Rhinolophus ferrumequinum: one gene and its partner. The protein of the gene in region 1 purifies or fractionates together with the protein of each later gene. This does not show direct contact. Links are inferred from orthologs where the notes say so. Each region holds a gene or a part of one and is shown on either strand. Other genes may lie near its edges.

Evidence for each region.
Region 2: the proteins of GNG8 (region 1) and GNB5 purify together in Homo sapiens (co-immunoprecipitation; 3 studies listed by BioGRID and IntAct, with this or other methods). This does not show direct contact. The link is inferred for Rhinolophus ferrumequinum from reciprocal best matches to the Homo sapiens genes GNG8 and GNB5.

Annotation. Positions count from the first base shown.
Region 1 is NC_046298.1:42,777,643-42,788,596, forward strand, and holds GNG8 (guanine nucleotide-binding protein G(I)/G(S)/G(O) subunit gamma-8), read right to left. Parts: upstream 4,821-10,954; 5' UTR 4,510-4,820; coding exon 4,426-4,509; intron 4,235-4,425; coding exon 4,106-4,234; 3' UTR 4,060-4,105; downstream 1-4,059. UniProt on the Homo sapiens protein: Guanine nucleotide-binding proteins (G proteins) are involved as a modulator or transducer in various transmembrane signaling systems.
Region 2 is NC_046289.1:55,793,191-55,806,152, reverse strand, and holds the start of GNB5 (guanine nucleotide-binding protein subunit beta-5), read right to left. Parts: upstream 6,144-12,962; 5' UTR 6,008-6,143; coding exon 5,896-6,007; intron 1-5,895. UniProt on the Homo sapiens protein: Enhances GTPase-activating protein (GAP) activity of regulator of G protein signaling (RGS) proteins, such as RGS7 and RGS9, hence involved in the termination of the signaling initiated by the G protein coupled receptors (GPCRs) by accelerating the GTP hydrolysis on the G-alpha subunits, thereby promoting their inactivation.

The DNA of each region.
Region 1 (10,954 bases):
CAGCCAGACCCACAGCTAGGACTACAAAGGCTTCCTCTTTCATCCAGGTGCCCTGGGTGAGAGGTCACCCCGCTGGGCAAGGGGTGGGAGGGTGGCTTCCGGGGCGGTTGGGGGAAGGGCGAGCTGTTGGAAGGAACTTCTCCCAGTGGCTGAGTCAGCAGCTCTCCCCCTTGGCCCACTCACCTCCCCAGAGGGGCCCCAGGGCAGCAGGCAGAAGAGGGCGGACAGCCCAGAGACAACTGGAAATGGACACACAGCACCAGGGAGGAAGGGGGATGGCCACCCAGAAGGGTGTGTGCAAGGGACTGTGGGTGTACAAATGGCATGCGTGAACAGGCTTTATTTTCCCTAAGGGTTATTTGTGCATCTTTTTGCGTATCGGTGAGTGTCTGTTTATTGTGGGCTCATGTGTTTCTTAATGGCCTTGTCTAGTGTGCGTGTTTGGTGTGGAGGGGCTTCCCGGTACAGGGGAAAGGGATGGGTTTGGAAACTCACCACCAACATTCACCAGTTATGGTGTGACACTGGAAAATGACTTCCCCTATCTGAGCCTGATGTCTTCGTCAAATGGCTGCCTTGCCCTTGTCTGGCTGTTGTGTGACGATTAGAGATGGAATTCACCCTCGCTGCCTCCAGGAAGGCCCCCAGCAGCTGCTGGTGTTATTAGTCACTCAACAAACCCTAACACACTTGCTGTATACGAAGGGCTGGGGTTGCAGAGGTGCTCAGAGGGCACCATCTGATGGGGGTATGTTCTCAAACGGTGTGCGACAAGTGATAGCAGAGGAAGGTTAGAGCTGGAACCTGGGCAGGCAGGAGTTGTTCCACACACAGCGAGGGCTCCCTTCTGGGTGGGTATCCATTAGAGGACAAGGCTAAGTGGGCCAGGAAATGGGGCTGCGTGGGCCTCTCCCACGCCTGCTGGCCAGTGTCTCCGGCTGCCTGCCCAGGTCTGCATCTGCATATGCTGCTGCTGTCAGCTCGCCCTTAGCCTGTGGCTTCTGTCCTCCTGGCCCTGCCCTGGGAAGGGGCTGGCCCCACCCCATCACACACACACACACACACACACACACACACACACACGCAGACTGCCAAGCCTACCCTTCCATCTGTGCCCTCTCACTGCTGTGAGAAGCTGCTGTGTGTCCATCCTGAACAGCCCTTCATTGGCAGGTCACAGCACTTACAGCCAGAGGCCATTTTTTCTCAGCCCACCACCCTTTTCACCACCCCAAACTGCTTCCTGCCCGTGCTCCAGGGGGCTCTCCTTGGATGTCCCTGCCCTGCCTTTGCCTGGGCTGCGCCCCTCACCTGGAATACCCTCCCTTCTGTCCTTCTCCTTCAAGTCCCCAACTCCTCCAGTCCCTCTTGAGCACACCCATCGCTCCACACCAACCTCAAGCCCCAACTGGCCAGGTGACATCTCCTCTCCGGGCCTGTTTGCTGTGACTGTAAAATGGGGATGAACAGAGTCCCTTTGACAGTTACCTAAGAATTAAGTGAGATGTGGCACGGAAACAGGACTCCCCATGAGTGATGGCCATGACCGTGGCTCGGTTGGCTCTGAGCTACGTCTTCCTGATCCCCTCGGCAATGCCAAGCACTGCTCTGAGCACTGGGGTGCAGGGTGGAAGGAAAGACAGCCTGGGAGGGGCAGCCAATAGTCCTGAGTGTTGGGGGTGAAGTGGGAGGGGCCTGCAGAGAGGAGGCACTTCCCTAGGCGGTTACCTCTCTGCCCCTTGGCCAGGCACTGACCACAGAGCTGACCTCCCAGCAGGAGAGGGGGTGGCAGGAAAGAAGAGCTGGTTACCAGAAGCTGGTGTTGCAGTGTCATACCCCCTAACAAGATTATCTGTGTTTGCATGCAGGGGGGCTGGCTGTGGGGAACCTACCCTGTCCCTTCTGGCCTCCCCTCCCTCCAGCCTCTGTCATGACCAGCGTCTGTGTCCAGGCTTACCCAGCTCCCCTCCACCCTACTCCAGGCAGAAATCTCCCCCCTACTCCAAGTCAGCCAGCCTCGCTTGCTCCTCCTCAGCTTCTATTCCCCAAGACCAGGAATTCCAAAAAGGAAGCTCCAAGATCCCAGGGCTGAGAGGGTTAAATCCCAACATCTAAGCTCAAGAAATTCTTATACTTCTGAAGTGCTGGACAAGGGGGCAGGACCCCAGAATCCTGGTCCCGCAGGTTTGAAAGACTCCAGAATTCCAGCCCTTCACGTCCTGGGATTCTAGATTCCTTCACATTTCAGGTTGTAAGATGCAAAGATGCTGGGTTGGAGAAATTCCGGAATCCTCCCGGCAACTTCCCTCCCAGCATCCCTTCCCACCCTGCCACACCAACCCCCAGCTCATCCTTGGCTCTCTCTGTCCCCTGTCTCCCCCGGGGCTCCCACAGACATGATGCAACCAAGCCAGAGCCGGCTGAGAGGTGGGAGGCAGGAGGGAGATGTAATTACAGCTGCTCCTGTCTTAATTCAACGGGAAGCTCAGAGTTCGGGCCCAGGGGATCCTAATCCAAAGTGAATAATGGAGCACTTACCAAAACTGTACACAGCTGCCTAGAGGGAGGGGAGACTCAGTGAGCCAGTCTCCATCCAGATCTAGGGAGCAGGGGTGTTAACCTCCAGAGAAGAGGAGGTGGGGTTTGGGGTGGGGAGGGGGTCATGAACTCAGTGGCCCTTGGGCCAACCAGGTAAAATAATTAACCAAACCCACAGCTCACTTAGTCTGTATTTCCTCATTTTCAACAGTCATTTCAAGACATTTCACCTTTCTCTTCATTCCACTGTAAAAAGCCCCCAACACAGGCTCCATAATAAATAGCAACTGGCCCTCTGCCTCCTCAATTGAGAGACAACAGGGCAGGGTGGGGAATTTGACGAGCTGGAAAGCCCAGGTCCCATCTCATAGCCTCCGGTCACCCTGTGGAGTTGTGTAGATATGAGGTCACCAGACCTTCCAGTTCAGGGGAAGCTAGAAGTATGGACTCCTATGTGAACTACTGTTTTTCAGTTTGGCAACCAAATCAAGAACATTTTTAAATATTGTGTAGGCCAAAAGTAGAAAGCAAAAAAATTATATAACTGCAGGCTATATATGAGTATGTCCTGTGGGCTACCAATGTGTGAAATGGGAAACACGGGGCAGGAACCAGAGCTGTCAGTCACCCATGTGTCCCCAGATCAAAAAAAAAAAAATTGTTGAAGGAATATACACATTAATTTGTCTCCTCTCCCTCTAGCTACACTTCTCTCTTCTCTGGGTGCCAAGTTTTATTACCACCATATACCAGCTCAGATGTCTCCTCCTCCAGGAAGCCCTCCCTGACCCCCAAGCTGAGTCACAGGCTCCCTCTGAGCTTCCCCACCCCAGCCCTGCCCACTCAGAGTCATCGCTATCTGGGGACATGTGTGTCTCTTTCGCTGGATTCTGAGCCCCAAGAGGGCAGGGCCAGGGCTGTCTGGGTCACAGCCACGTCCCCAGCTTCAACCAGCACAGGGCAGGTACTCAGGGAGTGCTTGGAAGAATGAACAAATGAATGAATGAACAGAGTTCAGTGCTTAAGGAGAGGAGTAGGCCTGTGGCAGGGGGTAGCCAGATGTGAAAGAAAGGGGTGGATTCATTTAGGGATGAGAAAGGTGGGAAGAGCACACAGGGGCCCCAAAGAGTCTCCAACCCAAGAGGGAGGAAGGAGAGGAGAGAGCCCTGCTGAGGGGTCCAGGGAGCAGTGCAGGCAGAAGTCTTCAACCCATTACCTTCTATCTGTGTGACTTTGAGTAAGGGACTTCCTTTGGCTCCCTTTCCTCATCTGTAAAACGGGTATTATACAAGTAGCCAGATGCTTCTGGGGCTGTTGGGACGATTAACTAAATTCAGGATTGTGGAGCCCTCAGTGGGCTCCCATACACCTCTGCATCCACACACCCCACATAACCTTACCCCCGCCCCCACACACACTCAGAAGGGGTGAGAAGGGACACAGGTTCCTCCACGGTGAACCCATGCCCTGCGCGTGCCTCAGTTTCCCCGAAAGCACAGGCACCACCACAGTTACCACGTTTATTGGATTCATACTTTGGCAGGGGAGGGTAAGCTCTCAGGAAGGCTCAGAGCAGGATGCAAAAGAGGCGCTTGTCGCGGAAGGGATTCTCTGCGGCCGGTACCGGCGTCACCAGCGGGTCGTCTTTGGCATGCGTCTCGCAGAAGGCCAGTAGCTCCGCCGCCGCCTGCGATACCTGCGGGTGCCCGGGTGATGTTCACGCCCCGCCCCGCCCAAGGCCCTGCCCCTTGCCCGGACCCCTCCCCGGGTCCAGCCTTGTTCGGAGGGGATCTCACCCCGCCTCCGAGGCTCCGGGCCCCACTCCCAATAACTCCAGGTCAAAACCCAGCCCTGAGCTCCCGCCTTCCTCCCATCCCGACCAGGCACCTTCAAGCGGTCGATGTTCACTTCCAGCTTCAGCTGTTCCACAGTCTTGCGGGCCTCCGCGATCTTGGCCATGTTGTTGGACATGGCTGCGGCGGGGAAGGAGTTAAAGGCCAGGCGGGAGTGGGACAGGCTAGGGACAAGTCTGGGTCGCCAGGTAAGGGAGGCGGTGGTGTGGTGGCACCCAGCACCTGGGGTGTGCGTGGAAGAGGCTGGTGGAGCTATAGGAAACCAGGGAAAAGTGCAGGGATGGAGAGCTGCACAGACGGGGGACCTAGTGGCAGCGGGAGGGATGGACAGAGAGGGGTGAGGAAGGCAGGAGGGAAGCACAGATTCGATGCTGAGAGGCAGGTGGTGGGAGGGACAGAAGGACAGGGCCACAGGTGCTGGAGCAGGATCCAGGTGTCCTTAGCCCCCAGGGATAGGGCATGAGCCAGGAGGGGGGTCCTCCCCAGGCCAATTAGCGGTGGCTCCAGGGAGAATAAGGAATTAAGATCTCGGCGGGAGGGGCACAGAGGGGGCCTCATTAGGACTTTGGCAGCAGCTGCCCCCTCCGCCCCCCTCGGGGAGCTCCCCCACCCCAGCCCTGGCCACCTCAAAGGTTCCTCTGCTCATTAGCAGCCAGAGATAGGGCTGGGGGGGGAGGGGGCCCAATCCAGACATGACTAGGAGAGGGGCAGAGAGGATGAAAAGGGGGACAAATTTGAGGGGCAGAGGGAGAGACAAAGTGACAGAGGGAGAGACTGAGGCACAGGGGAGAGAAAGAGATTGAAGAGGGAGAGAAAGAGATGGAGACATGGGGGAGGGATGGAGGGAGTAGGCGGTGGACAAAAAGGTAAAGAAAGGGGCAGAGTGATATAGAGGGAGAGAGGTACAGAGGACAAAGGGATGGGGGTGGATGGAGAAGGGGAGATGGAGGAGTCCAGGAGGGATGAGGCGAAGGGGGTGGGAGAGGATAGAGATAGGGACACGTGTAGGGGTAGAGGAAGGGACAGGGATAGCAGAGGAGGGAGAGGAGCACAGGGGTATAAAGGGACAGAGGAGAGAAGGGACCAGGGATAGAGAGAGAGAGATGGAGCAACTGGAGGCGACAGGTTAACGGAGACACAGAAGTATAAAGTCATTCATTCACTCACTCACTCACTCATTCATTCCCAGGCAGACACGCTGACTGATGAGCACAGGGAGGAACTGTTGGGGCCAGGACCAGAGCTTCCTACCTGCTGTTGCCTAGGGCTGGGATGGCGGGCTGGTGGTGAAGGCTGGGAGACAGCTTCTGGGTCCCCCTGCCCAGCCCCGCCCCTCCCCTCCCCCTCCCCTGAGGTGCAGCCCCTGAGGACCCGCCTCCTGATGCTGCCACCGCCATCCCCACTCCCTTCGTCACCTTGGGTCTGTCTCTCTCTGAGTCCCATCTGTGTGTGTCTGTCCCCCTTCTGTCTCTGTTTCTGTGTCTCTCTCCCTATGTCTCTGTCGCTCCTATTCTCCGTGTCTCTTTCCTGTTCTCTATCTCCCAGTCTCCCCTCTTAATCTGTCTCCCTCTTACACACACTCACAGGAAAAAGACAGACTCTCAAGGTGTACCCTACACCCTGCTGCATTTACCCCACAGTTCCACAAATCTCTTCCGTGTGTCCACACAGCCTCTCACTCCACCACACACGCTCTCCCGCCGTGTCACAGCCGCCACCTCATTGTCATCCCCTCACAGACACCCCTTCTCAGCTCACACGCTCACACGCTCAGTTCCTCACACAGAGATACACAGTATCTCGCTTTGTCACACGGCGTGACCACACAGTCTCACGAACAACCTGTGCTCAACACACCATGTCCCACAGTGCCACAGTCACATGGCCTCCCAAAATGCCACACAGTCCGTGTGTCTCAGAGGGTGCCACATCACCCTCAATGACATTGCGCCCAACCAGTTAAATACACTACCTCAGATATGACAGTAAGTCACATATCCAGGGACTCCCACGTACAATCACACTCATGCTTACACAATCTCTGTCGCACACCACCTTACACATTCCCTGACACTCTGTCCCCACCCACACGCTGTCATGCACAGAATCTCTTGCTGAGCCTTACAGTCTGTATCATACACAGCTGTCACCCTCACACAGCAGATTCCCGCTGTCACACATTTACACACACAAGGTCTCGCTTGTACTTTCATCTCTGAGTGCTCTCAGAGTCTCACACTCACTCCCTGTCACAATGCTGTGCCAGTCTGTCATCTCCCACACGATCTGCGTCACACACAGTTCTCACAGTTCATCAGTGTGGCTGACACTGTCTCACACCCAGTCTCTCTGTCACACCCAGTCCCCCGGGGCCGCTCACACTGCCTTCTCACGCCATCTCTGGGTGGATCACATTCATTCAGCCTCACACATCATGTGCCCATGTGACTCACACAGAGCTCATGTCCTCACCGCGTTACACACTCTCGCACACAATCTCTCACTCTCGCATATGGTCTCTTGATGTCACAGTCCCCCAAATAGTGTCTCAGGCACACCAACTTCACGATGTCGCACAGTCACCTACATGTTACCTCTCTCATCTCACATATAGTCACACACAACCTGTAGGTATAACAAGATTTCACACAGTGACACTCTGTTACACAGCATCTCACGAGGTCACACAGCCACACACAACCTCTGGCATCACGCACAATTTCACAGTAGTACACACTCATACAATCTCTTTGTGTCACACACCATGGTTCGGTGTCACCCCCGGACACCCACAGCGTCTTTCCTGCACTCAGCACACACAACCTTCTGTCCTCTCCTGACAGTCCCCTGAAGGCCACACGAGGGCGCCCGCGGCCCACCGAACCGCCCACCCCACCGGAGCCAAAGCCGTAAAAGGAGGTGGAAATCAGGAGGGCAAGGAGCCCCTGCGGGCCCGCTGTGAGAGAGACACAGGAAAGTGGAGGGAGAGAACTGAAGATGAACCGGGACTCAGAGAGGGGGACAGAGATGCAGGGAGAGGCAGACGCAGAGAGACAGGGATATGGAGACAGAAATTTGGAGAGACAGACCTAGGGACTCAGAGACAGGGACAAGCAGAGAATTGCAGACAGAGACACAGAGACTTGGGAAGGTACAGGAAAGACACACAGACAGAAGTGTAGGGTCGGAGACAGGAACCGAGACATACAGACTCCCAAACAGGGACAGGCGGGCAGACATACAGACCGCGCCTTCCACAGGGGATAGTGGCGGAGGCGGGGCCTACAAAGGTGCGTCCAGGGGTGTGGCCTCGGGGTTTCTAAGGGGAGTGGTCCAGCGCAAGGTTTGGAGGGGCGTGTCGAGAATGTGGGCGTGGCCTGGGTGGGGCGTGTCCCGACCACCCCAGACTGCTGCGGGAGGGGCGGAGGCGGGAGCCCTGGGAAGAGGTGGAGGTGGGGAAAGGAGCGCCTCTACCGCAATGAGCCCATCTCAATTCGGTTTTTACGGCCTGGTCTGCGAAGCGAGACCGACGGGGAGGAGACACCAGCCCAGATCCGTGGTGTAGCGATTTGATAGGGAAGTGGCGGACCCTGGCTTTCCTCCTCCCCTACTTCGCCCGAGCTGCAGGGCCAGGTGGGGGAGGGGAACCAGGCTCACATCTGGAAAGCATCAGGCGCGCCGGACATGCCAGGGCCCCGGGCCCCGCTGCGGAAGCGGGGAGGGGAGCTAGGGCGCCCTAGTCTCCCCCTTAGCAGGGTCTGCCGGCGCCGGGGAGGGGCCTGGGCGTGCGCCCAGCCTCGGCGCCTCCCGCAGCTGGTTTCCATCATCAGTGCTGGCCCCGACAGCCCCCAGGAGGAAACCTAACTAACAGCGGGGGTGGACAAGGTGACGACCCAACCTCCCTTTCCCCTCCCCGACGGCGGCCAGAGGCTGACAGACTGACACTGCCTGAACCAAGTGTAACCTCCATTTCTCTCCCAAGCTGTAGACCTCAGCCCTTTTTCCACCCTACGCGTGACCTTAGTTTCCAGGTGTGCAGTCCTGCTCTGTGCTGCACAGGAAACGCCCTTGCCTCATGACAACCTAGTAGTCAGTGGTATTATTTGTCCCCATTTCTTGGGGGGTAGGGGGGAACCAAGACCCTGGATTCGGATTCAACTCTGGCTTTAATCATTCAAGAAACGTGCAATGGACGCCAACAGTAATTCTAGGGCCAAATACCCAGTCGCTTGCTGTATATTCCCACCTGGGTATCTGGTGAGATTCTCAAAATCAATGCATCCAAAACTAAGCTCTGGATTTCACACACCAAACCCACTCCTACAGCAGTCTTACCCATCTCAGTTGATAATAAATCTTTGGGGTCATTCTTGACACCCCTCGCTCTCTTGCACCCCACACATGATCTAGCAATAAGTCCCATTAACTCCATGTTCAAATTCTCGCCACAGTCCAATCACTTGTTACCTCCTCTGTTGTCCCCACTCTGGCCCAGCCACCAGTCCCTTCCACGTGGACTAGTACAGTCACTCCTCACTGGGCTCCCAGCCTCCACTTCTGTCTCTCTCAGCCTGGTGCCCACAGAGCAGCAAGAGTGACCCTGTTTGAACTGAAGTCCCCAGAAAATAGCAAGTGTTAGTGAGGAGATGTTGGAACCTTCAGACACTGCTGGTGGGAAGGTAAAATGGTGCAGCCACTTAGGAAAGCAATCTGGCTGTTCCTCAAAAGGTTAAACAGAGTTACCGCATAACCCAGAAATTCCACTCCTAAGTATCTACCTACAAGAAATGAAAACATCTGTCCACACAAAAACTTGGACAGGGATGTTCATAACAACATTATTCAGAATAGTCCCGAACTGGAAACAACCCAAATGTCCATCAACTGATGCATGGATAAACTAAATGTGGTCTATCCAGATAGTGGACTATCATGTGGTGATTGGAAGAAATGAAGTTCTGACACAAACCATATAACATGGATGAACTTTGAAAAAATATGCTACGTGAAAGAAGCCAGACACAAAAGACCAGATATTGCAGGATTCCATTTATAGGAAATGTCCAGAATCGGCAAATCTATAGACACAAAAGTAGATTAGTGGTTGCCAGGGGTTGGGGAAATTGGAAGACAACAGCTAAGGATGCAGTTTCTATCTGGGATGATGAAAATGTTCTGGGATTTACAGTGGTGATAGCTGCACAACTCTGTGACTATACTAAAAGCCATTGATAAGACATTGATGAAATAAATTGAAGAAGACACTAATAAATAAAAAGCTATTCCATGCTCGTGGATTGAAAGAATTAACGTTAAAATGTCCATACTACCCAAAGCCATTTCCAGATTCAAAGCAATCTCTATTAAAATTCCAATGGTATTTTCCACAGAAATAGAACAAAACATCCTAAAATTTGTATGGAACCACAAAAGATCCCGAATAGCGAAAGCAGTCTTGAGAAAAAAAAGAACAAAGCTGAGGGTATCACCCTAATTTCAAACTATATTACAAGGCTATAGTAATTAAAACTGTATGGTATTGGCATAAAAATAGAACAGAATAGGGAACCCAGAAATAAACCCACACATATGTGGTCAATTAATTTAAGACAGATGAGCCAAGAATATACAATGGGCAAAAGAAAGTCTCTACAATAAATTGTTTTGGGAAAATTGGACAGTCATATGTAAAAGAATGAAACTGGACCACTATCATACCGTACAGAAAAATTAACTCAAAATGGATTAAAGACCTGAAGCCATAAAACCCCTGGAAGAAAATATAGGTGGTAAGCTCCTTGCCAGCAGTCTTGGTGATTATTTTTTGGATTTGACACTAAAAGCAAAAATAAACAAGAAGGACTACATCAAACTAAAAAGCTCCTGCACAGCAAAGGAAACCATCAACAAAATGAAAAGACAATCTCCCAAATGGGAGAAAATATTTGCAAACCATATATCTCATAATGGATTAATATCAAAATATATAAAGAACTCGTACAATAGCAAAAACCCAATCTGATTTTAAAATGGGCAGAGGATCTGAATAGACATTTTTCCAAAGAATACATACAGATGACCAACAAGTACATGAAAAGATGTTCAACATCACTAATCAAGTAAATGCAAATCAAACTCATGAGGAGCTATCCCCTCACACTTGTCAGAATTGCTGTTACCAAAAAGACAAGAAACAAGTGTTGGTGAGGGTGTGGAGAAAAGGGAGCCCTGTGCACTATTGGTGGGAGTGTAAATTGGTGCAGCCACTGTGGGAAACAGTATGGAGGGTCCTCAAAAATTAAAAATAGAACTACCATATGACCCAACAATTCTGAAGAAAATAAAAACACTAACTTGAAAAGATATCTGCACCCCTATGGTCCTTGGAGTATTATTTACAATAGCCAAGACATGGAAGCAACCTAAGTGTCCATTGATGGGTGAATGGATAAAGAAAATATGACACACACACACACACACACACACACACACACACACACACACACACCATGGGATATTATTCAGCCATAAAAAGGAAGGAAACCTTGCCATTTGCAACATAC
Region 2 (12,962 bases), on another chromosome or scaffold:
GTCTTCCTTCTGTTGATGTAACTGTCCCCTTCCCTTTCTCATAAATACCCATTGTCTTTGTCTCTTAACTGGAACATTATCTGGGCTTCTGCCTGAATCATTGCTTCCCAAATATTCTTACTAATCTCAAATAAATGTTTGTTGCCTCACTTTGAAAGACCTTTTTATTTTTAGGTTAACAAGCCTGTGAGAATAAAACCCTCCACGAAGCTACATTTAGAAGAGACAGAAAAATGAATAGCAGCCAATGATAAATCCTGTGATTTGCCCAAATTTCATCTGGAGTTGTACTTAGAGAAATTACATAAATCTTCTGAGTTGCTTTGTTCCTAGACAATATTACAATGTGCCCCAGAGGAGCTGGCGAGCTGGATGAAGCTCCACACAGCCCCAGGAGGCTGCCATCCACATTGGCTGAAATCAACCTGGTGTCCGTCCTGCTCTGCTGCTAGCCTGTCTTCTGAGTCATTTGTCAGATTCACTTCAAGTGAAGGACTCTTTATAGATGAATTCTCTCCTTTTTGTCTTGATCTTGACTCCCATTCCAGTACTCATTCTTTATTATAAAAGCAGTAAATGCACACATGGGTATAAAGGGAAAAGAACCTCTACTTCTCCCACTCCCTGGGGGCCCTCTCTAGAGATCAGTTTCTCATGTACCCTGCCACAAACTTAATGCATACGCAAGCATCTCTTGTTTAAGCTAATGAGATCATGTTATATACACTGTCCAGCATTTTGCTGTTTTTTTCCCAAAATATTGACACCTTTTCACATATACACGTGGATTTACTTTTTTTTTTCCTTTTTAGTAAATCTCAACTTTCTGAAAGATGGCCTGGTATGGTGAGAAGGAAAGCTGTACTAGGAGTCTGAACCCTGGCACCTACTCCCCTTTGCCTCTTAGAGCAGCTGCATTACCTTAGGGAAATCTCCTCAACCTTCCCTAGACCTCAGCTGCTTTCTCATCCATAAGGACAGGGGGTGGGGTTATTGGGAGGAGAAGAAAACTTTTTGTGCCTGAAGACTGAGGATGAAGCAGGTGACCCCTCTAGTTTAAAGGGTTGTGTGACAGGCCCTCCAAAGATGTTCACATCCTAATCCCTGGAACCTGTGAATATGTGACCTTATGGGGTAAAAGGGAGCTTGCAGATGTGATTAAGGATCTTGGTATGGAAAAATTATTTTGGATTCTACAGGTGAGCCCAATGGAATCACAGGATCCTTATAAAAGGGGGGATCGGGTAAAGGGCTAATATCCAAAATATACAAGGAACTCATGAAACTCAACAACAAAAAAACAAACAACCCAATTGAAAAATGGGCAGAGGACCTGAAGAGACATTTCTCCAAAGAGGACTTAAGAATGGCAAACAGACATATGAAAAAATGCTCAACATCACTAATCATCAGAGAAATGCAAATAAAAACCACAATGAAATATCACCTCACCCCAGTTAGAATGCTTATCATCAACAAGACAAATAGTAACAAGTGTTGGGAGGCTGTGGAGAAAACGGAACCCTCATACACTATTGGTGGGAATGCAGACTGGTGCAGCCGTTATGGAAGTGTGGAGGTTCCTCAAAAAATTACGAATAGAATTACCATATGACCCAGCAATCCCTCTCCTGGGTATCTACCCAAAAAATCTGAAAACATCTACACATAAAGACACGTGTGCTCCAATGTTCATTGCAGCTTTGTTTACGGGGGCCAAGACATGGAAACAACCAAAATGTCCTTTGATAGATGAATGGATAAAGAAGTTGTGGTATATATACACAATGGAATACTATTCGGCGTTAAGAAAAGATGATACAGGAATATTTGTGACAACATGGATGGATCTTGAGAGTATAATGCTAAGCAAAATAAGTCAGACAGAAAAAGCAGAGAACCATATGATTTCACTGATATGTGGTATATAAACCAAAAACAACAAAAGAACAAGACGAACAAATGAGAAACAAAAACTCATAGACACAGACAATAGTTTAGTGGTTACCAGAGGGTAAAGGGGGCGGGGGGTGGGACATGAGGGTAAGGGGGATCAAATATATGGTGAAGGAGAACTGACTCTGGGTGGTGAACACACAATGTGATTTATAGATGATGTATTACAGACCTGTACACCTGAAATCTATGTAACTTTACTAACAATTGTCACCCCAATAAATTAAAAAAAAGGGGGGGTCGGGGTCAAAGAAGGAGATACGATGACAGAAACCAGGTTGGAGTGATGTGGGGCCACAAGCCAAGGAATGCAGATGGTCTTTAGAAGCTGAAAAGACAAGGAATGGATTCTCCCCTAGCGCCCCAGGAGGAATGCAGCCTGGCGGCCCATTTTAGACTTCTGACCCCCAGAACTGTAACCGAACAAATTTAGGTTACTTTAACCCACTATGTTTGTGGAAATGTGTACAACAGCAATAGGAAACTAATACAAAATTTAACCTCATGATTCCAAAATGCCTTAGACTCAAGCAAGGAAGCACTTACAAATGGCAGAAGGCAAGCTGAAGGGATAAGGAGAAACATCCAGGGCAGGAAGCTCTGCAGGAATAAGGGAAAGGCAGAGACGGGGACATGGGTCCTAGGGCTGTGGAGTTTGATGGAGGCTGGCTTCCCTTTAGGCTGCCCACATAAGCCACTTCCTGTATGTAATATTGGCTGAGGAGGGTCTGACTTGGGCATGAGGGCCCCACAGAATGGCTGCTGTCTGAGGGTCAAAGGGATGGAAGGTGAAGAAACGAGGGTCTGGAATTGGGGAAAGTTCACTTTTCCTCCAAGTTCATGTTGTACAATTTTGTTGTGTTGATTTTTTTTTTTTAAAGATTTTTTATTGGGGAAGGGGAACAGGACTTTATTGGGGAACAGTGTGTACTTCCAGGCCTTTTTCCAAGTCAATGTTGTTGTTCTTTCAATCGTAGTTGTAGATGGCGCAGCTCAGCTCCAGGTCCAGATGCAGTTGTTAGTTGCAGGGGCGCTGCCCACCATCCCTTGCGGGATTCAAGGAGTTGAACCGGCAACCTTGTGGTTGAGAGCCCACTGGCCCATGTGGGAATCGAACCAGCAGGCTTTGGAGTTAGGAGCACGGAGCTCCAACCGCCTGAGCCACCGGGCTGGCCCCGTGTTGATTATTTTTTAAGCCAAGAATTTGGGCAAGTCAGAGCTAACAGAAGGCTGACCAACTTTCCCGGTTTGCCCAGAACTGAAGTGTTTTCCAGGATGCAGGAATATCTGCTTTACTACTGAGTCCCAGGCAAACTGGGATAACTTGGTCACTTTAAGCTTATGATCTAAAGAGGTTTCCCCAACTGGGGTAGGGGTCACAGAGCCACCTATATAACACCACCAAAATGTGAACATGTATAGAAAGAAGCTGAGAGATTGGAAGAGAGAAGAGCCAAATGATGCTAGATCACGGAGATCTCCAAAGGGAGAGACTGTGGTCAGACGAGGAGCAGTTCTGAGTGCTAACAAGATCCTAGGGGGCTGTCACAGAGTGAGGGGCCAGTGTGTTTGGAGGGTCACCCCTGTGAACCCTGAAGACACCAGGGCTTAGGGTCAAAAGGAAGGCTCAAGCCATGTGCTAACGTCCTTAAGAAATGAGGGGGCCTGGCTGGGAGGTCAGAAGACAGCTCGTGGGGGAGGAGAAGAGGGATGGCAGCCAAATGACAGGAGCCTCAGAAGAGCCAGGGTTTTATGTAGGAGTAGCGAGTGGTCTGGAAGCTTCAGGGGGCATAGACGGGAACATGACCACATGACTTCTGGTCTTTTCAACTCAAAAATTCTGACTCATACGCAGGTGAGGATAGATCCTCTTACTGTGAGTCCAAAGTTGGCCGTGACCTTTGAGGGCACTGCATTCTTGGCAGGACAGGGACTCCTTGTTGAAAAAACTGCATCTTGACTATTTCTCTGCCTTAAAGCAATTTGCAAATGCACAGAATGCAAATGCACAGAAAAGGCTGAAAAGTATCCCAGTGGGCACTACTGAGTGTCCCTCTGGAGAGCCCCTCTGGACCAGGCATGAAGCTGAAGTGAGGTTGGGTTGGAGTACTGACTGCTTGCGCTGGAATCCTGATCCCACCACTTATTATCTGGGGTCTTTCCGAAAGCCCTGTGACCTCTGTGCCTCAGTTTCCTCATCTGTAAAATGGAGAAATCAGACCTACCCCAGAGGCACTAAAAGCACACTCATTGCATCATCGTTACCATCTGCAGAGTGTAGGAATTTGCAAAGGGAAATGGGGAAGACTCTGTCCTATGCCTCCCAATCTCCATTCCTTGCTTCTCCCCTGATAACAGAAACCCAGCTCTGCTTGGGGATGACAATATGCTCAGCTCAGTCCTCCCTTTTCCAGCCTCCCCTTGCAGTAGCCACGTGACCTAGTTCTGGTCAATGAAGTGTAAGCAAAAACCTGTTGGGGAGAAATGAGGTTTAGGGGGAAACTGCTTTCCTGATAAAAGGGAGAAACAGAGGTTGGTACCCACATTCCACCTTCTTTCTGCCCTGGATAGAGGGGTGATGTTTAGAGCTGTGGCAGTGATATGATAATTGTGGGGCAAATGCCACTGCTCTCAGGGTGGTGGAGAAGACAGACAGAAGTGTGGGTCCCTGAAGGCAGCTGAACCAAAGCGGTGACGCCTACCCTTGTTCTTGTTATGTACGAAAAATAACTCCCAATTTGCTTAACTATTTTATTAGGGGTTTATGGTTTTTTGTAGCTGGACATGTTTCTAAATGACATAGGGGCTTAGTGTGCTTCCTATTTAAAAGAGGCCCCTTCGAAAGCACAGCATACTTTAGAATCAGGTCACCTGCTTCTATCAAGTGATTTTCAAAGAAAGGAATCAGGTACTAAAGGACCTAGCATGAACCCCATTTTTCTTTTCCAAATAGAATTTAAAGGGGGGGTGGTACCAAATAGGAACGGCAGGAGCACCATGAAAAGGTGTGTCTGAGGGCACCAACGGGAGGCCTTGCTCAGCAAAGGGGAGCTGCCACCCTTAGAGCTGAAACGTAAGCAGATAAGACCACTTCCCCAAGCTTGGCCCCAGCCCAATCTCTGCTGAGGATGAACCACTGGACACAGAACAGGGGAGCTGATCCTGCCAAGAGTCATTTCACCTGGCTATTTAATGGCTCACTCATAAAAAAAAAAAGTATCAGAGAGCCTGTTCTGAATTATGGTCGTGGTCAATAATGACGTTTGTGTAAGACTGCTATTAGTCTCTGATGCTAACCATACGGCATCCATCCAAAAGCTTTTCAAACAACCTTAAGTGAACTAAATGGTTGGATGTGGTAAGCTCCTCTGCTTCCCCCCTCCGGCTCTCCACCTCCAAGGAGAGTGGGCAGATTGGAATAACGAGCTCTAAAATCAGTGTCTGGTTCCATGTAAAAGCAAAACTGAGAAAAGACACAACAGTGATGGAGAAAGCCAAATAATGAAAAAACAAGACAGTTTACCCTAGGCCGCGCCCACAAGGGCTCGCTGTGCTTGCCACCACTGACACCCCCCTCCACCGGCTCCGCCTGGGAATGGCAAGAATTCGATCAGTTTGCATCTTGCAGGCAGGTGATGACCGTAACTGGTCCCCGATCCTTCCTTGGGAGGCCAGCGTCCAGGGGCTGCTACCATCAGGTGCCCCGGCCCAGAGGCGGCTCTGTAAGGTGCCGGGAGCCTGCGAGGGCCGCCCAGCTCCTGCCCCACACGGGCGCGCCTGGGTGCTCGGGCTACTCCCAGCGCCTCACCTGGAGCCGGGACACCCGAGGCCCGCATCCCGCCCCGGGCCCAGGCCGCCCGCAGCCCAGATCCCGGGAGCCCGGTCTCGTCTCCTCGGCCCGCCTCCCCGCGCGCAGCCCCCGCCCCGGCCCGCACTCACGCTCCACGTCGTGCAGTTTGGCCCGCTCCTCCTCCAGTTTGCCCTTGAGGCTCTCGGCCTCGCTCTTCAGCGACGCCAACGTCTCGTTCTCATGCAGCCCGTCCGTGGCCATCTTCGCGCGGGGACGCGGCAGGGAAGGAAGCCGAGAGCCGGGATGCGGGTGAGCTGCGGGAGGAGGCCGGGCGGCCACAGGCGCAGCTCCAGCCGGTCTCCTCCGCGCGCGGCCCCGCCCTCCGGCGCTGACGCGGGTGGCTGCGAGCCCGGCTGCTGGGCCGACCCCACCTCCCCGCGGGCGTCGCCTGCGGGCACAGCGCCCCCTCGGCGCCCCCCGCTTGGCACACGGGGGAATAGAACTAGGATTTGAACCCAGGAAGTCAGAGATCAGAGTTCACACCCTAACCCCCCACCCATGCTATACTGCCTCACCTAGTCCAGCTGCGCTGAAAACGTTTGTGTGTGTAAACTGCTTCTATAACAACTTATCCGTCACTGGACCCTCACATGAGACATCATTTTAAGACAGGCAACCACTTGAATTTTTAAAAAGTGGCACTTACAATTTCTGCACATATTGAACAGTAGCTGAGCTGTTGAGATTTCTTGAAAACTGGTCTCAGAGCCCTTTGCTTGAAACATTTGTCACAGGAGCCAAATACATTAACTAGAAACGTCTGATCACACATCTTTTACCCAAGATGAAGCTGGAAAAGAGAGAGAAAAAAGGGATGTAAGTGTGTGAGAAAAACCAACAGAAACAGCTTTTTTAAAGTTCGTCTTCCTGTTATCATGGTAGTTGCTCAGACCTCTACATGTAGGATAAAGTATATGCAGTTAATTTGTAAACTTTGATTTATTACAACATGCTGGGTCAACACCAACTCATTTATTTAATCAGCAAGAAAGCGTCAGACAATAGGTTTTCTGAACTTACAGTTAACCAGTTGTTTTGGCAGCTTGCAGACAAGGACACCTGGATTTTTGCAGCACAGTGTTAACCTGTGGGGCTTCAAAACAGAAAGCATCTTTGTAATGAACAGTATAATTAAAAAACAAAAAACTCCTCTCATCAGGGTGAAATTTTGGAGTAAAGACAAGAGTCAGAAAATGGTGGAACCTGACCCCAACCAAAGCCATGAGGCTGAGTAAATGTGTTGGTTCCCTGCCCGGAATGCAGCATCCCACTTACTTGGTAAACATTTGACAGCCACAGACCCAGGGTCCCTGCCTAACACCCGGAAGTTGACAGGCCCAGGCCACTGAAGGAAGGGTAACCTGGAGAAAGCAAAACCATCTTGTGGCTGAGGATGCTGTCTCTGGCTGGCCAGATCCTGGCCGCACTGTTTAGGCAAGTTACTCAAACTCTCTGAATCTTCGTTTGCTAATCTATCAAGTGAGGATCTTAAAAATCTATTTCATAGGATTGTCAGGGGAATTCTAAGAGACAGTGCATGAAGCACTTGGCTCAAGGCCGGAATATAGTGAGTGCTCCAGAGATGTTATGCTGCCCTGTGAGTGGCTGTAATAGCAGCAGCAGCAGTAGCAGCTGCAGCAGGAAGGAGGGGAGGGGTGGAGCGGGAGACGCGGAAAGAGCAGAGAGGAGCCTATGGCTACTTCTTCCAGGCAAGAAGCAAGGAAGGCCTGAACTAAGCATTGGTGTGGGATGGATGTGGACCACACTTAGGAAGGAGAAGGAGCTGGACTCGGAGACATGTGGAGACGAGAGGGAGATGTCTATGGTATCTCCTAGGTTTCTGTTCGGGAGGCTGAGGGGTCAGGTGCCATTGCTGGAGATGGAAGACGAGGAGGTGAAGGTGGAAGGGAGTGGCCATCGTAGACGTGCCAATTGAATAGGTGTTTCAAAGAGTGGGCCACGTCAAGGTTTAAAGAAATGACTTCCTGAGTATAAAGATATTTGGGGGCACTGATTTGTATATTTCAACAGAGCCACATTTTCAAGGATGTATTTGTAAGGCAGGATGTATTTGTAAGGCAGGTATTCCGCTGAGGGGAATATCTGTCATGCTGAGGTCACAGTGGGGCTGCAGGGAGAATGTGAAGATCATGAATTGGGTGAACTCCTCCAGCGAAGGGGCAGCTGGCATAGTTCTTGAGAACGCTAGGTAACAAAGGAATAGAGGACAGTCCCTTGTAGGTGAGAGAGCAGAAGCGATCAGCTCTGACCTCTCACAACCACCCTGAGAGGGAGGCAGGACATCTGTGTGACAGCTAAGGAAATGCTGTCCAAGGGATTCAATGAGTTCAAGGTCAGCGGTGGAGCCTGACTCTGTATGCAGTGGGACTCCACAACCCCTACTGTGGAGCCAGCACCACCAAGCTGCTCTGTTTTGTCACAACTGAGTTCAAGAACACAAAAGAGCTGGTCCACTAGAGCCTGGCCCGTGGTAGAGGTCCAGTAATGTTGCCTCCCACTGCCCGAGCCTGCCCAGGCAGCCAGTCACAAGGTTGTGCTGAAGACTCCAAGTAATCGCATTAGGAAAGTGAGCCATGGGTTTTTTAGCAAGGGAGCCACGTCATTTAAGTGGATTATTCCAGCATTTGTGCTTCTAGAAGTAGGTCAGAGACAGACTGTACAGCAGGAAAATCAGCTAGGTTAAGAGATTATTATCACATTGTGTGGAAGAGGAAATGAGCTCTGGACAGAGTAGCAGCTGCAGGAATAGAAGGCGAGAGGAACTGAGGGAACCAGTGGGGAAGGAACAGAAGGATGGCTGGGAGTTGTAGGAGATCAAGAGAAAGAGAAGCTGAAAAAATTGCTAATATTCCAAATCTGGATAGAGACAATGTTTTCATTCCCAGACTGAATTAAAATTTTTTTTCAAATTATAAGAGCTGTACATGTTTTCATTATAAATGATTAGAAACAGAAAGACACAAAGAAGGAAAATTAATCACCCACATGCCCTATACTAACAAATAATTGACCTCTGTTAGCATTTTGTGTCTTCTTCTCACATCTTTATAGGCATATATGTATATGTTTTTTAAAAAATTGGAATTATATGCCATATACAATTTTGAACTTTAGTATTTTGCTTAACAGTGTTTTCTTCTTCACATGTCATTGCATATTCTTGGAAAACACCATTTTTTAATGGAGACCACAAGTTTTGAGTCATATCAACCTTGAATCATATCACATTTTAGATCTGGTTGGTTACACATGGGCAAGCTACAAACCAAATTTGAAAGATTATAGCATTTTACAACCATAAATGTTATGGTCATGGTAAATAGTCTGGAAAAATGAAAAAGGTATAAGGAAGAAAAGAATCACCTATGATCCCTGCCCACAGAGACTCCTTTTCACATTTTGGCACATGCAAGATTTTTAGGACCATTGCAGTTACACTGTTCATGTATACTCTTATATCTTTTCATCCAGATATTTTCCATTTAATATTTATATCATGAGCAAAATTTCATTTTAGACCATTCTATTGTACTTATTGTCAATAATCCTCTTTATGACGAGGGAACTTTTTACAGAGCAAATACTTCAATAAGCATTTTGACAAGAAAAAGATAAAAATGCCTCAGTTTAATAAGTTTTTACACAAAGCTGCTCTGCAGAAGTTTGTAGAACTTCTCAAACCTTCTGCTTACCCTGCACCAAACACAAAATTTATTTGAAATGTTTCACCTAAATATATGGTTAAAAATTACCAAAAAACCCACCACCCCATATTTATTTTTAAAAGAGTCAATGCCAAATATAGAAAGTCAAAAGGGAAAAGTCCCCGTTACCTGTTCCGCATCTACTCTCCTTATTTAGTTTGGTTCATATTCTTCCATATTTTCTGACACCATAGATACAGCTTTGTTAATTATATAATTGGGGCTGTTAGCGACTTGTTTTTTTCTCCTACCTTATTCTGTTAGCACTTATAGAGCTGTTTTTTTTTCTTTTGGTCATAACTTTAGTATTATTCTATACTATGGAGTATCATAATTTATTAAACAAATCTCCTATTTTTAGATATATAGAGTATCTCCAGTTTTTACTTTTAAAATAATGCTTCATTAACCCAATTAAAAATGAGCAAAAGAACTTTGCTGGTGGGAATGTAAAACGGTGCAGCAGCTGTGGAAAACAGTTTGGCAGTAAACAGAGTTGTTACCATATGACCCAGCAAATCCACTTGGGTTTATCTAGGCATATACCCAAGATAAAACTTATACACAAATGTTTGTAGCAGTATTTAAGCCAAAAAGTGGAAACAATTTAAATGTCCATCAACTGATGAACAGATAAATAAAACGTGTTACATCCATACAGTAGAATGTTATTTGGCAATAAAAAAAGAATGAAGTTCTTGTTACAATGTTGTTACAACATATGTATATGTATATGTTACAATATGGATGAACCCTGAAAACATTATGTTAAGTGAAATAAGCTAGACACAAAAGGCTACAAGTTATGTTTCCATTTATATGAAATGTCCAGGATAGGCAAATCCACAGAGACAGAGAGTAGATTAGAGGTTGGGAGGGGGAGGGCAGGGGGAAATGGGGTGTGGGGTTGGGAACACTGCTTAATGGGTATGGGGTTTCTTTTTTGGGGTTATGGAAATGCTCTGGAATTAGATAATTCACATCCTTGTGAATATACTAAAAACCACTGAAATGTAAGCTTTAAAATGGTGAGTTTTATGTGTATTATATCTCAATAAAAATTATTTTTAAATGGGTAAAAGACTTATTGAGACACTTCACAAATACAGATATTCTTGTAGTCAATAAACATAAAAAGGTGCTCAACATCATTAGTCATCAAAGAAAAGCAAATTAAAATCACACTGTGGTATCACTACTTACCCACCAGTATACCTAAAATGGAAAAGACTAACAATCTGAAGTGTGGGCGAGGATGTGAAGAACTGGACCTCGTTCCTTGCTGGAGGGGTATAAATTGGTAAAAAACAAACAAACAAAAAACAAAAACAAAACAAAAAACGAATGTCATAGCAGCTTTATTCATAATAGCTCTAAACTGGAAAAACCCAAATGTTTACCAACAGTAGACTAGATACATTGTGATATGTTCGTGCAATAAAAAAGAATAAACCACTGATACACATGACAGTGTGGCTTTATCTCCCAAACTTATTATGACTATATAATATTTACGTCAAAAACCTCTTTCAAGTCAGTAAACTGCACTTGGAGGCTTATGTTGACATGTAAAGTGTTACCTGGATCAATTTTTAAAACTGATTAAATGATTTCAAGATGCTTAACTTATTCCCTAATGCCAATACTAAACATATTTTAAAAACAAAACAGCTTCTTCCTTGGTATGTACACATCTGAACACTTACCTGGGCATTTCAGAAAGCCTGAGTATTAATTTAATGTTAACACATCCATACCTTCCACAGACTCAACACTTGGAACTGATCAGCAGAAAGGCGAGAAGTTAGAGCTGCAGTTGGAAGGTGACGGTGGGAAAGGGACTGATTGCATCCTGTCTAATCTCCTTATCTGGGCATTACAGCGCGGCTGCTTCATCCCTGCCACCCTGCAGCTCCGTGTTCACTGCTGGGGCACTCACTGCGCTTTGCGTCACTTACCCCTTGAACCTTCTGCCCATCTGTGCTGCCAGGTGCCCTCAGAACCCCTGTGGGCCAGTTTCTTGAGCTCAATTCTCTGCCCTCAGTGGGAGGCAGAGTTCAGAGGTTTGCCTGTGAATCCACACCCTGCTCCACCGAGCAATCCTGATGTTCTGTTCACCTGTGACTGGAGGTTATTGGCACCTCCCACCTTCTCACTGTCCTCAATTCACCCGCACCTCTTTAATGTTGGCCACCGTGCCCACCTTCAGCTTTGTAGCACTGATCAACACTGTAACCCCCACTACCCCATGTAGAGAGAACCCCCACTACCCCTTCTCCATGCATACGTTTCTTAGCTTCTGCAGGTCCCCTTGTCTTGTCCCCAAACAAGATCCACTCCTTCCCAATGCTGACCAACAACCCCCCCCCACTCCCCCCCCCCCCCCCCCCGCCTCCTCTTCCCAAACCCTGCCCCCTCAATAGTACCGGGCTCCTGCACTTCTCTCCACCTGGCCAACATCCATCGAGATGAAGGCAGGGATGAGTGAGATGTGGACCTGCTCTCCAGAATCTCACAGGCCAGTGGGGGAAATGGGGAACATGACTGATTTACAGCCCAGGGTAAGTGCTGGCCAGGTAAGCTCACCCAGGGCGAGAACCTGGAGCTATGGTAGCCGAAAAGTAAGGGTGATGGGCTCCTCAGGGCATAGGGGAAGTCTGGAAGGAGCATGGAGAAGGCCGTGGTGCAGATCAGAAACCCAGCCGACTCTCTGAAAGTATCCTCTCATTCTGGCAGCCACGGAGACACCGCCTGAGCTAGGACTTAGGGCATATTTACTCCTCTCTAAAAATTCTTATATACGTTTTAAGAGATATAATGACTCTATAAAGATTCCATCTGTAAGTATGACCCATAGAGAAAGGCATAAACTTGTGCACTTAAGAAAAATATAATCTCCTAGCAATTAAAAGAATCTGACCCAATTCATACGGGAATTCATTTTATTGATTAAACTATTACAAGGTCTACTTTTCATTTCTTCATATACAGTGTATCTAAATGAACTAAATTAAATCATTTATAATGTGAAAAGACATTATTACATACTACTAGGGTGATCATATATTATTTCCACTGCTAAGATAAACGTCTGTGTTACAGAAGCACGCCGATTGCCTGTGGCTTTCAGAAACAGAATTGCCAGTTGGGATTCATGCGGTGCTGCAGAAGGGCGCTTGGCCCACCGGCCACAGGCAAGGAGGCTTATTAAATGATGTTTTATGCTCTGAAAGGGAGGAGTGGAGGGTGTGGAGGCCAAAGAATAGTCAGTTCCCATAAAACTTGGGAAACAGTGACTTCTCAAAAGGAGGAACCTGATACAATTCTTCAAGTACTTTTCTGAGAAAAATGTAAAACATATTTGAATGCTGATAAGATAGAGAAAATCATTTAGGTTGCTTTTTTAAGCTTTGTGTTTTAAAAAGTTATTG